2 linked regions of the Struthio camelus genome follow. The protein of the gene in region 1 interacts with the protein of each later gene in a biochemical or structural test. Links are inferred from orthologs where the notes say so. Each region holds a gene or a part of one and is shown in the gene's direction. Other genes may lie near its edges.

Region 1 (7,580 bases):
CATACTTGGAAGAAGAATAGGCAGCACCTTCTCCAGCAACCAGGAGGAGAGAAGATAACGGACACCAGGCTTGTCTTTTTGCCTGGGACAGCTTAATTTCGCAGCAAAACCAGCAGGTTAGGCAACCAAACTCTGGGACATAACGTTGCCAGGAAAAATGGCAGTTCCCAGTGAGAACTGTTCTGATGATGCCATGGTGACCTGCAAGTTACAGTGCAGAGCTCCTCAGAAGTTGTTCAAACACTGTTAATTGTTTGGCTGTGAGGATCTGAGGTCGCACGCTACAGAAATGATACTTCCATGCTTTGGCTGGGGAAGGAAGATAGGCTCTTGGGAGCTGTATCTTTAAGAAGCTTAATTCTGGAGACAGGGAGTCTGGAAATGGGCTGCAGCAGTGCAGGTTTTATTATGCAATTTCTCTTGGACGTAATATAACCCCCGAATAAAGGGGTTATCCATTAAGCACCTGCATTCACAGTGACTCCTGAGCACCACAGATAAAGTCCCCAGGAATCCATGCACGTGCTTAAATTGTCAGCTCGGGGGAGAGGGGGAGCTGTGCTTTTATGCACAAGGTACGGTGGGGGCCAGGACTGGGAATCCGGGGCACAAGTTTGCAGGACTGGGGTTCATCTGCTTGCTGTGTAATATCTCCCAGACAGTCTCCTTCCTTCTCACAAAATCATCCTATTCCAGTTGTAGCTCACTGTGCTTGGCATTACGGTGAGGCCACCTGAGTCTTGCAGGACTGACACAAACAAAGGGCTATGGTATCCTGAGCACTGCAGTACTATTAAGCCTTTTGGGCAAGTAAGGGTCAAGGTCTTCCCCCCGCTCCTGCCAATATCCCCATGCTGTTCTGATCCCATGGCAGGGGGATGACTAGGGCCATCCTAAGGGGACATCATGCCATGGAGAAGCTGCAATACGCAGTAGCATTAGGATTTCCTCTTCCTCTCCTGCTGCCCTGGTGTGCAGGGTTCCTTCCCTCCAAACCACCTCCTTCCTCTCCCCCTCTGGTTTCCGGGACTCGCAGCTCCCCTCTGATTTTACCTACGTGGCAAGTCTCATTTGGCCTGGCACTTTGCTGTAAAGATAGAAGAGCTCTTCCAGCTAGAGGGAGAGGAAGAGTGGCCTACTTCCATCTGCTCCCCATCCCCATTCCCAACACTGAGCATGCAGCATTGTTCTGGCAGGGCAGAGGCACACCAGGGCCAGGCAGGGCCAAGCAGGCTGGTACACAAGCTACCGTGACAGGTTCAGTGGCGGTGTCATGGTCCTCTTGCTTGCTAGTTGTGTGATCAGAACTGCAATACTGGTGGAACTTCAGCATATGGTCTATCAAACATCTTCCTGGAGCTAAGTGGTAGCTGTGGGACCACTTAGGTTCTGTTCCTGGCAGGAGATCCCCATCCTGACTCCATGCCAGAGCTCTAGTGTCATCGCAGCAGCACAGAAGGGGGTCATAAGGGAAGCGAAAGGCTACGGGCATCTGCTGATGCCAGCCACTCCAGCAAATCCTTTATTTTCAAGACCATACACGATGTAACGGGCAAGGTAAGAGCATAAAGTTATCCAAAAGCTACGGTTCAAAACTCGCTGACTGACCTTCTTGAAAAATGCAAGTAGCAGGTAGCAAAGGGCACTGCTGTCCTCTGTTGTGGCTGACAGACGAGCTGACCTGATTTCCGTTTCTCCACGTGCAGCAGAAACACATCTTCCCTCAGCCTAAACTGGGGCAAACACCTTGTATTACAATGAGAAGCTGTTGCAGATCCTCACTTCTGTGTTTTAGATGCCCTACCCATGTGAGAGAAACAGTGCCCCTCTATCATTGCATTGCCCTCATTTTTAAAATACACATTTTACTGCTCCCAGTCTTGAAACATCTCAAGCAGTAGATAAGACCTGAAGCCAAGGGGTTAGTGGCCTGTCACACTACTGCAGAGAAGGCTCATAAACATCTGTAGCAATGGTGTTTAAGCAGCTGGAGCCTCACCTAACCGATATGGACTTCCCACCCAAATGAGCTCCAGCTGCAGGTACCCGTTCAGAACTGGGACTCGTACCTGGAGCTGAAGCCCTGCCTCACACTGGACTACCCTAAAACGTACAAGAACTCTCTGCTTTTTAAGGAGACGTCCGAAAGGCAGACATAACCAGAGAGCCCCCGCACTTGTTTAAGAAATGAGTAATAGACTGATAGAAACAGAGCTGGTTACTGCCAGGCCTCTACAAGAGCAGGCGCCATGTAAATAAATATAGAATTTGCAAGTAAACGTAACGAAATGCATGTAAATATAGAAGTAAATGTAATGAGTATGAGGTAGCAGTAAACAAAAGACAAGGCTTTCTGTTTGCAAAAGAAGGTGTCATTATAGATCTCCTTTCAAAAAATAAAAGATTGCTGTTTAATCCATCTCAGCTTATGGACTTTATGCACACACCGCAGGATCGCCTCAGCTCCTTTCTCCCGCCTGTCCTCCAGTTAGGACTGCTCTTAAGGGATATGTCGACATACAGCAATAAGCGATGAAAACAGCCCTGAGCAACTAGTTTGGGTACGAGACGCTTTGCTGCTATGGCACGTCGCCTGGGCTTATAGAACGACCTTCTTCTCAGGTTAGGAACCAGTACGGAAACCAACTGAAGTACACGAGCTCCAGCCTTACAAACCTGTTTCAGCCAGGGAGGTTTGTCTAGTCAGAGCGGAGGCACGGCTGGAAGCAAGCGGTCGGAGCGGGTGCCCGGCGCCCCGAGCCCACCGGCCGTTAGGTTGGGTCCTGGTGCCTGAGCTGAGCTAGCAGCGACCGGGTCCGGCCGTGGGCGTCCCCGTGGGCCGGCGCGCGGCCCCTGCCCTCGCGTACGGCTGCGGGGCGGTGGCGGACGCCCTCAGCAGCAGCGAGGGGCCTAAGGGCGCGCGCAGCGGGGGGAAGCCCTTCGGGCGGGCTGCGAGGCAGCTCGGGGGCTCGGCGGGGATAACCGGGCAGGCGTTTCGGCAGGGCGCGCGGCCCCGAGCCACGCGGGCCGGGGCGGGCTGAGAGGCGGCAGGCGCGGGCAGAGCCAGGAGCAGGGGGCGAAGGCAGGAGCCCGCTGGCAGCGAGGCCACACGCGACAGGAGCGGGCGGAGGGCGTCTGGGCGCTCAGCGAGCCAGCGCGGGGGGCGACGGGCAGCCAGGGGCAGGGGGGACAGGCCGGCATCGCCTGAAGGCCCCTCTCGTCCCCGTCCCCGCCTGAACCCAGCGCTGGCCGCCTGGGCAAGGGGGCCCGGGCCTCAGCCGCGGCCGAGGGGCAGCTGCGGGGCGCTGAGAGGCGACAGCGACGGGGGGGGGCGGGAGGACGGGGAGGGGGGCGGGGGCCCCGCCGGGCCTCGCGCGGGCCGTTCCCCCCCCCACCCCCCAACCCTGGGCAACGCGCCGCGGAGCAACTGAGGACGAGCTCGGCTCTTTCCGGCGCCGCTCGCGCCTTTCCGGCGGCGGCGGGGGCGGGGGGCGGGGCCCGTGCGCGGTGACGCAGGGCGCAGGCCCCGCCCCGGTCCCGCCCCCATGGTCTCTGGAAAAGAGAAGAGAAAAAAAAACTTTTTTTTTTAATTGAGGAATCAACAGCCGCCATCTTGTCGCGGAGCCGGAGCGCGGCGCGAGCGGAGCGGGGCCGGGCCGGGCCGGGCCGGGGCAGCGGGGCCGCCCGCCGGGGCACGGGCAGCCGCGCGGAGCGCCGCCGACGGGCACAGGGGCTCGGGGCAGCGGGGCAGCGCCGGCCGGGGCCAGCCGGGCGCCGCCGCCGGGACCGGGACCGGGAGCCGCGGCGGCCGCCGCCGCGCCGCCCTCATTGTTTTGGGGCTTTATTTTTTCGGCCCCCGTTGGCCGCGGCTCGCCGCGGGCGGGCGGCGGGGGTGGGGGCGGCGGGCGGGGGCGGCAGCGGGGCCGCGGCGAGCCCCCCGCTCGCAGGGGAGGGGACGGGGCGAGGAGGAGCGGGTGGGGGGGCGCTATGCTCCCCGAGTGACTGACTGAGCCGCCATCCGGGCACCTCCTCGGCGGCGGCGGCGGCAGCGGCAGCGGCGGCAGGGCGGGGGAGCGGCCGGGAGGAGCGAGGCCGGCAGGGAGGGGGCGCTGGGCTCTCCCCACCCCGCCCCGAGCCCTCCTCCCTGCGGCCTGCTGCGGCGGCGGCCCGGCCCGGGCATGGGGGAGCGGGGGCCGCCGCCGGCCGGGCACTGAGCGGCGCTGTTGCTCGGCCGCGGCTCCCGTGCGGAGCGGAGCGGAGCGGGGCGCCTCTCCTCCTCTCCTCTCCGGCGGCGGCGGCGGCTGCCCGCCGATCCCGGGAGCGCGGCGGGCCCCGGCGGGGCTGCCACGGCCGAGCCGGCTACCATGGCGGAGAACTTACTCGACGGGCCGCCCAACCCCAAGCGAGCCAAGCTCAACTCGCCGGGCTTCTCCGCCAGCGACAGCACAGGTGAGGGCCGCGGGGCGGCGCGGGGGCGGCCGGGCGGAGGGACGGAGGCGGCGGCCGGGCCCGGCCATCCGGCGGCGGCCCATCAGCGGGCCGGGCCGCTTACCCGGGGCGGGGGGGGGGGGGGGGAGCGGCCTCCCCGCGGCTTCACCGAGCGGCGGGGGTGGGACGCGGCCTGGCGGGGAGGCGCGGCCGGGGCGGGCGCCCCGCAGCCGTCTGCCGGCGCGGCCGGGCCTCCCGCGGCCGAAGTTACCGGGCGGGAGCCGCGCGGTTGTTCCCGTCCCGGCCGCGCGGCTATAAATAGCGGCGGCCTGGCCGCGGCGCTCGGGGAGCCGGGCCGGGCCGGCGGCGGGGCCGGGCGGAGGGAGCCGCCTGGGTGCGCGGCCCGCGCTGCCTCCGCGGGGCGGGGCGGGGCGGGCGGCGGCGGCGGTGGGGGGGGTCGGTGCTCCTGGAAAGCGGCGGAGCGAGGGCTGCCGAGAGGCTGCTCCGGCTGCGCGCCGGGTTGCGCGGCCGCCGGTGGGGGCCCAGCCCGCGCCCAGCGTTTTTGTGTCGAAAAATTCGCAGCGCTGAAGTTGTGGGGTTTCTTCCGTGACGACACGGCCGGCGGGCTCGGGGCGGCTGCGGCTTGGCCGGGTGTCGTGCAGTCTTCGGTGCGCGCCTCTCTCTTTCTCTCCTTTTTTTATTTTTTTTTTTTTTAAATCGTCGTGGGGGGTGTGGATAATAAAATGCATCAAAACGATCGTTTCCAGTAATCGCCTGCCCGTTGGAAATACGCACGTGTGCAGAAACGCAGGCGTGCGTGCACTTACTTCTGTAAGTGTCCCGAGTGTTCAACACGGGGGCCGCATAGGAACAAGTGATATGTTTGACGGGTCTTTCGGTTCTCGGAGATTAATGAATCTCGTTTAAGGGACAGTGATAAGTTAATCACGCTATGCCTGCTATGTTTCTATAGACTGAAAAAATTATTACCGTAATGGAGCTGATAAACTCTGTGGGTTTTTTTTTTTTAAGTTTGCTCAGTCTGCGTTTGGCAGTAGTTTTATAGATAGGTCTGTGGGTTTGGGTTTTTTTTTTTTTTTTAATGGAATCTTTTTCTTCCCAAACTGCAAAGAAATGAAACATACCAAAAAGAAGCAATATTGAGACTAAGAATGGGTAGAGAATACCTGGGTGAGGTCTTGTGACTGAACTACTTTAATCCCTTTTTGTGGAAGTGACTGAATATCATAGTGAAGGCTGATGCAGAAGGTGCTGTGAAATGCACCGCAGTAACTCAGAAAAACACAGTTTTTCTTTAATTGCCCAAATAGACACGTTAGAGGCTACTGGTAGCCAGGAAAGGATCTTTGAAGCAGGTTTTTCTCTCTCTTTTATTTCCCCCCCCTCCCCGTTGCCTTGGTCTGTTCTGGAACGCTTCAGTCATAATTACGTCCTGTTCAGCAAGTTCTAATGCGTCTTGGTGAGCTCTGTGGAGCACTAGAAATGTAAACTTGAGTATCTGCATAAAGTTTTGCGCAGCTGAGAGGACCTTTGGTCACCAAGGACAGAAAACCTCAGGTTGTGTTTTTGACAAATAGGAGTATTTCGGTTGTGTTCTGTTGTGATCCTAGTGTTCTTCGGGGAGGGGAAGCATCTCTTTGAGGGTGCAAGCGATGTTTGTGTGCTTAAAAGTGCTTTTCTCAATTTGCTTTCTTTTTCTTTTTTTTTTCTTTTTTAAGATTTGTTGCCAGCAGCTAATACTACTTGTTGAAAGATTGCTGAACTCTTCTATGTGTTGTAGTAGGCAATACAAATAGTTTGAGTAGTGATTTCTATCAAATCCCTGGTCCTGAACCTAAAGCAGGCTGCTCTCTTGCACTGAGGCTTAAATAAAAAAGTCGTTGCAACATGGAAGGCTCTTTATTTATTTTAAATCAGAGAGATTTGGGTAGATAGTTTTGAGATTCGTGCCCTTACTTAACAAGCTGTAAGTTGTGTCCTGGATAACTGAATTGTAATTGCAGTCATAAACCCCAGCTGTTTGATGCCGCGGCTTGCGTGATTGGGACATGCTTTAAAAGACATCGTGTTAGGCCCAGTTGTGTAGTTTTGTTGCTGAATAACGAGGCATCAATCCTGCCAATGCTTAGAAATGAGTATAGTGGTGTGCTGGTGAAGGGTCTGGTGGCAGGCCTGAATTTTCAGCAGAATGCAGCTGCTCGCTCTTGTTTATATTTCACTTGATGCTTTGATGCGGTGATCTTGAGCAATTCCTTTTGTCAGGGTAAATGTTAGTTCCCTTTAATCTTTCTGGTAAAAATAGCTTCTTAGCCTACTGTAGCTAAGTTTGTGCAATTTAAACTGGCTTGCTTACGTTCTGAAAATATGACCTTTCCTGTTAAATAGCTAAATCAAATCTCTGATCTAAGAGAAGGGAGTAGAGAAAAGGATAGCAGAAACGTATACTATGTATATCATAAGGTGTCGTAACAGTTAGCACCAGGGCAACTCTGAAATCTGCTTCTGTCAATGAAGTATGCTGATGAAGACCCATGGCTACCGGCTCCGCTGGCCGTTGCCGTTCAGTATTCAACAAGCTGGCTAATATGATAAGAATATTCACGGGCGAGATTTTCCCGTATGTAGCCAGGTAGATTAGCCCTTTTGTCTAATGGCTACTTTATTAGATACCCACTAGTTTTCTTCACTAAGCATTTGTACCTCGTTTAAATCTTATGAGGCGTTCTCATCTGGGTTGCTTTAGAATAAACCAGAGACTAATATGAAAAGTAGAATTATAGTAACTTCAGTTATTGCAGAGTATTATTTTAACATTGAGCGTCGTGATTACTTTGTATATCCTGCCAGTTCACGGTATCCTGCCAAACGAGCAACGCCAGCAAAGTTCTTGAGCTGGTCCTGCTTTGAGCTCTGAGCACAGATTGTGAAAGATGTTTTTGGATCAAGCAGCAGCAAAGCTCGCGTCCGTCGGGTGCCCGTGCGCTGTGGTTCTGCAGAGAGCTTGCCGTTACGTGCATGGCACGTAACGCGTCTATCTGTGTTTGTTACGTACCCTGCAGCCTTCTGCTGCTATAGAAATATGCTTGTTCCAGAAATGACAAATCATAATTTGGGCCAGAGCAGAGGGTGTC
Region 2 (8,311 bases), on another chromosome or scaffold:
TGGTTGCCTATGGATAGCGCGTGTCCTACAAGACAGTAAGATTCACTGGAAAAAGTCTTCCAAGATCTGGAATATGTTTATGCTGTTTGCCCTTACTTTCTGAATTCTGCTTGTTCTTCTTTAATGGGACCAACACCCACCAGGGACTACCCAAGAGCTCCCCAGCTTGCAGGGGGGGCTCTTGATCAGCATAGGATTAAGGCAGAGCAGTTACGTTGGCTATGGACACTGCTGAAAAGGGGAGCGGGTGTCCATGACTGCTTCCCAAAATTCAGAAGCCCAAATTCTGCCCAACCCTCAAGATACTTAAGGGGGGGGGGGGGGAAAGCACCAATGGCCATCTTTAAAGGCTACCAAAACAAACCAACCAAAAAAACCAAAAACCACCCCACTAAATTGCACAGAGAATACTTTGCTACAGAATGAATAAACAAGTATAAGGACCACGCAAGTTTGTAACCAAACAGCTACTGTGCCTGGGAACGCAAAGCCATGTGATTGAGAGCCCTCCCTACCTAGCAGATACACACTGTGGCAGGGACTCTCTCTGGCATGGGTAGCTGCAAACTGAACCAAGACAGAAAACAATAGCTTGTCTCAAAACACAAGATTTACTAAAATATTATTTATGCTCACTTCCAACAAACAGCTTCCACCCCAGACGTCCTTCGCGCTCCTCTCTTGCCCATGAGGTAGGCGTTTAGAAGACCACATTTAAACACTGCTTCTTGGTGCCTAGTGCCCTCTAGCCGCTTCGCATACACATCACAGCCAGACCCCAAATCCCAGCTGTTGACACCTGCAACTGAGTGTTGCAGCACTCCTGCAAAGAAACTTCTTCATTTCTCTTTATGCTCCTCCTCCTACTTTTGCTTTATATCTATCCTGGTTTCAGGGATTCAAACGTGCTATTTTCAGCCCTTCCTGGTTTCTGTAGAAGATTAAAAGAGGGCTTGGCTCCCAGCACAAGAGGTTCAACCCTACCTGGAAATACTGCCTTCTCTCTCTCCCTCTTTTTTTTTTTTAAAAGAAACTCAGAAGGTGCAGTATATTAGCTAGTGTGAACAGCCACTGATCTAAACCTCCAGGGAGACAGTGATATACTTTAGTTCCCCAGTTGCAAGCAGGAATGAAAATGGAAGTAATATGCTTTTAGATACATTTTTACATGAGGATTAGTCTTAAAAACCCTCTTTGCCTGAACTGCGCAGCTACACCTCAAAGAGGAGGAAAGGTTTCAGGGTAGACCAAGGAACCATAGGGCTCTGTAGAGCCCCAACGATGCAGTTCTATAAGTTAGGGTAAAATAAACTAGTGCCTTGCTCTCCTTGTATCTGCACTGGTGTTTGCACAAGCCAAACCCAAAAAAGACTAAGCTAGGTTGAAATAAAGCAAGTGCTGTCATCAAACTCCATGAACAATCTCATCATGAGACTGTACAAGCATCAACATCCAAAGCAAGAGAAAAGACAGATGATGGGGCACACAGCACCAAAGCAGCTCTAGCAACTCATTTAAACCATCATGGAGCTGCAACCTCTGAACCAACACATCAGGAGCTTGCCAGAGACTTGTGGTCTGTTCCTCCTAGCCCCATGTTCTCAACACAGCAAGAAAGGCAGAGCATGTGCTACACCTGTGGGCAGCTGATGCCAGCTCATCTGGCCCATGTGCTGAGTCTGCCAAAGAGCTGACAGAAACACACGCAGGTCAAGGCACCCTGCAGATTTGCTTAGCATGCTGCATGGCTCCCATGCACCTCTCCTTACAACCAGGAGGTGCTGTTAGCCTGTGAGCAAAATGAGTTCAGTAGAAATAAGGGAAAGCACTTAAGATGCTTTTCCCCAGGACAGGATGTCTCCAGAGATTTCAAGGAGGGCACAAAGACAGGTACCTTCTCTCCCACCAAATCTGTTCTCACTGGTGGAAGAAAAAGAAACAGCCATGTGCAATCCCTGATGGGACCATGGAGAAAGCTCTCCCTCTCAAGTGCCTTTAGGCTTTGCATTTCCAGGACACTACTACAACTGCAGCCATCTTTCCCCGCGCTGTGCCTCTCCTTCTTACCCGAGATCCTCTTTACAGCACTCACTCTTCAGCTTCATGTCTCACCTCCCTCCTTCTCCTACTGTGTATGTCACAAGGAAACCAAACAAGGCTGACGTGTAAAGTGACTTTTTGAAAAACCATTTGACTTGAGCACACTCCTTCCCCGTTGACGTTTCCGCCACAAGTTAATTACAATACCTAAAGCTATCTTACTTCTGTTGCAACTCTCACAACTCCTTTCCGTTAACTTACCCTCCGCCGGAAACACACCACACAGCGCTCCGCAGACAGGACGGCAACCCACTCCTCCCCGAACACGGTCCACATAACTCGTTTTTTTCCCCTTGGCGGTGATCAGCCCAGCGCCACAAACCCCGAGCGGCGTTTTAAGACGAAAGTGTTGCGAAAAGAGCAGCCTTCCGGGCCCTGAGCCGGGCGGGCACTTCCCGCCACGCCACACCGCGGACCGCTACCGAAGCGCCGCAGCTCGGGGGCTCGGCCGCCCCCGCGAGCGGGTCAGGCCCCCCGGGCAAGGCCTCGGGCCGAGCGAGGCGCGGACCCCCGGCGGCCCGCAGCCCCCCCCCCCCGCGCCTCACCTTGAAGATGGCGTAGCCAGCGGCGGTCTCGAACAGCACCAACATGGCGGCGGCGGCGCCAACGGCCGGAGCGGGGGCCAACGGCCGCTCACGGGGGGGTGGGGAGGGCGCGCGCGGCCACGTGGGCGAGCGGACGGCAGCCCTCAGCCCAGCACACGCGCGCGCCGGAACGGGAAGTAGCCACAGCGGAAGTTATGTCACGGGAGGGGAAGGGGCGGGGCCGCGGGCCGCCCCCCGCGCCGGCGCTGCTGGGTCCTGCGGGCCGTCGGCCGGAACGGAGCCGCACACCGTCGGTGTCCGCTCCCTGCGCTGACCGAGGCGGGGGAAAAAAGGCGCACGGAAACAGCAGAAATATGTCCCCTGGGTGGGAGACAGGTCTGGGCGCGTTCCCGGCCAGGCTGCCGCTCCGCCGTAAACAGAGCCTCGTTCCCCAGCCTCGTCTGCGCGCACGTCGGCATAGGGCTGCGGTCTGCCTTCGTGAACGCGCGCTTTCCTCTGCGAGCAGAGTTAAACCAGCCCAGTCCCCGGTGTGGACGCGGCGGCTGCGTGCGGCGCTTGCCCGCCCTCCGCCTAGGCCGAGGAGAAGGGGGGAGGCGCTCAGAGCTCGGTGCCGCTGCGGGCGTCCGACAGCTGCTCCCTTCTGACAACGGAACGCCAAACTCGCTGCATTTACAACAGGCGTTTCGAGGCTCCCGATTTCCCCGCGCGGTGCTGCCTGCCCAGGATCCGGTGTTTCCGGGGAAGCCGCAGCTCAGCCCGGCCCTGCCGCCTGCCGCCTCGTCGCACTGCGCCCTCCAGCGCGTCCAGGGGTTACTGTCCCAAAGAACAAATTATAGATTAAACATGATTTACCTTCTTCCTTTTAATAAGGCATATTAATACTTACTGCTAGCACTAGCTGCTCTCGAACAAATACACTAGTGTTACGAGATTATGGATTGTTCTCAGGTTAAAGCCCTGTTTTGTAGGAAAACTATCTGCAGGCTGAAGAGGCTTTGTGCAGGCTAGGTAGGCTAACGCTGTCCAGAAAAACACTAACAGCTCCTCTGCTTTCCACACAACATTGGTCAAGTTAATTAGCAGCAAGCTGAATGAACGGAGGTGAAATTTATTAACTTCAGGTGATTGAGATTAGTTGCAGATGGGGAAATTAGAGAAGTTATAAAATACCTGAGGATTAAACAAAGTTATTAGTGGATGTAAAGTAGTCTCAACATCAGCTGTAGCAGCAAGGGCTACTTTGAGTTCTGTAGGAAGAAGCTCATGTATGTATATTTAGTCTTTTAAAAGCATGTTTTTGTTGGGCTTTAAGGGTGCTGCATGTTGGGTTTGGGCTGTAACAGAAGAAACGTGTGACTTTTGTAACCCTTATAGGTTGAATTGAGACTAGCTGCTAGGGAGGTGCTGTGCAAATATAGCTTGTACCCTGAGCACATACATATCTGTAACCGAAGTGAATAAAAAGTGTATAAAGAGGGGTATTGTTATTAAGTTTTAATAGTGGTATTTAAATTTCAACTGTGTGTGCTATGCATGGGGAAGAGGGATAACTGGTGATTTGCATGTTACTCTTATTATAGAATGCATAGGAAAAGGGGTACAACTAGGAATTGCATTCAGATTTTATGCTAGAACTTTAAAACTGTCACCTTCTATCCGTGGGGCTAACCTCCCTGCTTTTAAACCTGTCCTTTTGTTTACTGCTAGCAGTGGCGTTTGCAATAGGATCAAGTGTTTGTCATCTCCACTGTTCACCTCTTGGGTTGCTCCAAGGCTGCGAATGGTTCTCGGTGGTGGTTCCTGCAGTGCTCTTGACCTGGTGACGAGGAGGAGGTCATCTTCCCCTTCGTCACCTGGCTCCGCGGAGTGCGTCGCCCCGTTTTATTTAACGCCTTCTCCCCCGTTAATTCTGTGCGGCTCGGTTGGCCGCTGCAGGCCTGCCTGGTGCGATGGCCGCGTGCGTTCCCCGACGGGTCGGCTTCGTTAGCCCCGGTGGCGCTGGTGGGCCCTTCGCGCCTGGAAACGCTTCTGCCTCTCCTTGACTGGAGTTAAAACCTTCTCTGGGGGGAATCAGGACGAGAATCCCCTGCTGGGGGGGGAACACAAGTAGGGTGGGTTAGAAATTCACTGAGTTTTTCAGAAATCCACGGAAACTCGCAGAATTTCGGGGCGCTTCCCGACCCCCCCCCGGCGCTGGCCCTCCTCGCCGGCGGCGCAGAGCGAGGCGCGCGGCCCGTCCGGCCCCGGCTTCCAGAAGGTTCTGGCGGGCGGCGGCGGCGGGCGGCGGCCGGGGCTGGGCGCGCCGAGGGCCCGGCCCGGGGCTGGGCGGGGAGGAGCCGCGGCGGCGGCGGCAGCGGGCCGGGCCGGGCGGGAAGTGATCTCAGGCGCACAGGAAATCCCGCCCGCGCCGCGGCCTGTGTTTGTGCTGCGGCGGAGAGAAAGGGAGCGGAGCGCCTGCCGCGGCCCAGCCGAGCCTGCCGCACGCGAGGGGGCGAAGCCATGTCTGACCAGGTACCGGCGGGGCTGGGGGGGGGGGGAGGCGGGCGGCCCGGCCTGCGCCTCGGCCGGGCTCTGCTCGCCAGCCCCGAGGGCGCGGAGCGGCCCGGCCCGGGGCGGCTCGGCGCGGCGCCGAGGCCCTTTCCTTTCGTTTTCGCTGTCCCGGCCGTGAGGCAGGTCGCTCTGCCGGGGCGGGATGGCTCGCCGGGCGTTGCGGCGCGCAGCCCTCCGCGCTCGGCGGCGTGAGCTGTCGGCCGGCCGGGAGTTAACGCGGCACGGCAGGGTGGTTTTGTTCCCCGCCGTGCCCTTATTTCACGCGTTGCCCCCCTCCCCCCCCCCCAAGTGACAGCTTTGTCACGGCGGTTTGACTTCGGGGGAAATCAACGGCAGCGCCGGCGAATGTTTCCTGCCGTGCCGGGAAGCCAAGGGTAGTATTAATGCAAGTCATGAACTGAAAAATTATTCCGAAACCACGGTAAATCTTAGGATATGCTGTTGCCCCCGTTGAGGAGTAGCCTTGGCACCTTGTGACCCGCGAACAGAAGTCACTGCTGTGTGAGCTGGGTCCGTGCCCCCCCCCCCCCCCCCCCGACTTTGGAGCACAATGAAACTCTTGGTGGTGTTACTGCCTGGCTCTGCCTGCGAGAGCGCGGCGAGCGCTAGCTCTCATCAGGACGCGTTTCCAGTGCGGTAACAGGCAGGCGAGTGTCTGCAGAAAAGGAAGAAAAAAAAAAAATCAAATTATGAACGAGATTCTGTGGACTGCTCTTTATGTGGCCTGTTCTGTCGCTCATGTTTGTGAACTGATGAGGCACGTTTTAACACATAACAGCATTCATTAAGTAATTCCTTCTCCAGTCCAGTCCTGCTAAGGTGTATGCATGTTCATTCTTCTTTGGGACTGCTTGAAGTATGTAAAATTCATTGTATGTGAAAGCCTTTATTGGATATGTGTCTTAGAGGCACATATCCCAGAAGGTGCATTGGATAAGGGCCCTATTTTTCTTTTTTTTTTTTCCTTTGGAAATGCCTGTGCTAAACATTATCATATGTTTTGGCATTGACTGCTGGGGTAGAGGGACTGTGTAACAAGACCTAAACAGATGTACAAGTAACAGTATAACATAAAGTGAATATCGCCTAACCATAGATCTCATTTCTCTCTTTATCAATGCTACTGGAATAATCAGGTTGCCTGAAGTTGTAGGTTGTTTACAATAGCCTCCTTCTTGGTCCTGGAATCAAGATGTTAAGAGGATGATCTCTGTCAGTAGTTATAATTCTAGCTCTTTTTTCTTGTTATGTAGATAAAGATGCATAGTTGGTTTAGTTTCTTTATTCTCAATTACAAACTAACTTACTCGATTTAAAAAAAAAAAACTGTAGCAACAAGGGTAAACTTCTTAGAACCACGTGGCTGCTTGGTGGGATCGCAGCAGAAGGGGAAAAAGAGAAGTAACCCCCCCCCCCCCGAAGTCTCAGGCTGTTCTTATTCTCATTCCATCTAGATGAAAGCATTTTTATCTCTTTGTGTACTGTGGATAGGAAATGCTGTGGCACAATTGTACATACTTTCCTATTCCTGTCACAAATGTAAGAGTTTGTTTGCTGAGCTGGGGATGCACAGTGTAATCTTCCTCCTCTTGCAATTTTGATGCCAAAAGATGGTCTCAAGTATGCTGAGCAGGGCCTTTTTTAGGCTTGGATAGTGAAGTTGGAATGCTTCAGAATAATAGTAGATACAGTTTGTTGTTGGAGGGAATTTGCAATAAGTTGCCTTACAATGTTTATTTTGTGGTTCCATTAGTGGCAATAGCAAATACCTGGCACGCTGGGTTGCATTTCATCCAGGGAACTTTGAGTGCTTTGCAGTCATGAATGCGGTGTTAATATAATTGAGACAGTATTAGGGACCTTATTTTGTGCTATTTAGGAAAACTGTGGAATGAAGCCTTTAGAAATTTAGGAGTCTAGTGAAAAGTTAAACTTGGGGTGTTGTGGTGTTTGGGTTTTTTTGATGTAACCATTTCTTTAGCAGTTCAACTAAAAATCTGGATGTTTGCTTGTGGATCATGGATTTTGTTAATGGATGCTCGTAATTTAGTAACTTTGCAATCTACTTGCTTCCTTTGTTCTTAAGTATTTTTCTGCTGGCTTTTCTATTTGGCATTGAATGGCAGTATAGTTAGCACTGACAAAATGCAGGGAGCTGTTTTAGACTTGCTGAGTCTTGTTGTATTCTGTTTTCAAATCTTCTGCTTTTTTTAACTACCATTACTGGCTTTTTCAATGCTGATTTGATCCTATTTCTTTTTTTCCTGAAATTCCAGCTCTACTCTTTGCGTTTTTTTTTTTCATGGACGAGGGGTTGTTGGGGCTTTAAACATGCACCTTTATGGTAGGCTGATGTTTTAAGCCTCTACTTTCTACTGTTTGCTCCTTTCCCTATTGGTGTCTAGTACGTGAGTTCTCTGTCCCCAAGGGTAGGAATCAAACATTATGAATCATTGCTTTCCACTCATATTGGCTAGAGGTGCTGTTATAGTAGCAATGATGATTTGTCATACCTTGTACAGAGTGATTTGTTACGGAAAGCTATAAGAGGTAGATCTGCTATAATGCACAGAACTGGATAAACTGCTATGAAGCCCTTTACTGCTGGGACAATACGCTGGTATGCAGTTTAATTCTTATGCAAAGCAGAATAAGATACTGACTTGAAATTTCATGTGAAGAGATGGGATGTTCTGATAAATTCCTTGGGCAACAGCAAAACAGGAGGCAGTTATAAAAGTTAGAGTTTGGATTTGTAGAGATCTGAATCTCTTCTGCATCCCTAGAGGTTAGTAATCCTACATACAGACCAAAAATGTTATTTGTGCAAGCCGTCCATATGAAAGAGATGAGACAGGTCTGCAGGACAGATTGCAGTTTCTTTTTTTTTTCCCTCTTTGAGTCAGGAGTGGAAGTTACTGTATTTTTTTTTTAAATTTATTTCCACAAATAGTGCCATGAGATCTGAGTTGAGATACGTTAGAAAGGGAAAACTTTGGTAAGAAATGCAATTGCTGTGTTTATATATCAGGGAAGACTCCTTTCACATTTCAACAGTGACTTGCTTTGAGACCTGGGGGTGATTGTCTAGGTTCTTGCAGGCTTGAGGTTAGTTT

The links.
Region 2: the proteins of CREBBP (region 1) and SUMO1 form a complex in vitro, tested with the Homo sapiens proteins (2 studies listed by BioGRID, with this or other methods). The link is inferred for Struthio camelus from reciprocal best matches to the Homo sapiens genes CREBBP and SUMO1.

The regions. Positions count from the first base shown.
Region 1 is NC_090956.1:18,496,157-18,503,736, forward strand, and holds the start of CREBBP (CREB-binding protein), read left to right. Parts: upstream 1-4,223; 5' UTR 4,224-4,364; coding exon 4,365-4,449; intron 4,450-7,580. UniProt on the Homo sapiens protein: Acetylates histones, giving a specific tag for transcriptional activation. Mediates acetylation of histone H3 at 'Lys-18' and 'Lys-27' (H3K18ac and H3K27ac, respectively).
Region 2 is NC_090947.1:9,968,249-9,976,559, forward strand, and holds the start of SUMO1 (small ubiquitin-related modifier 1), read left to right. Parts: upstream 1-4,970; 5' UTR 4,971-5,144; coding exon 5,145-5,156; intron 5,157-8,311. Other genes in the region: NOP58 (nucleolar protein 58), read right to left, coding at 2,302-2,376. UniProt on the Homo sapiens protein: Ubiquitin-like protein that can be covalently attached to proteins as a monomer or a lysine-linked polymer.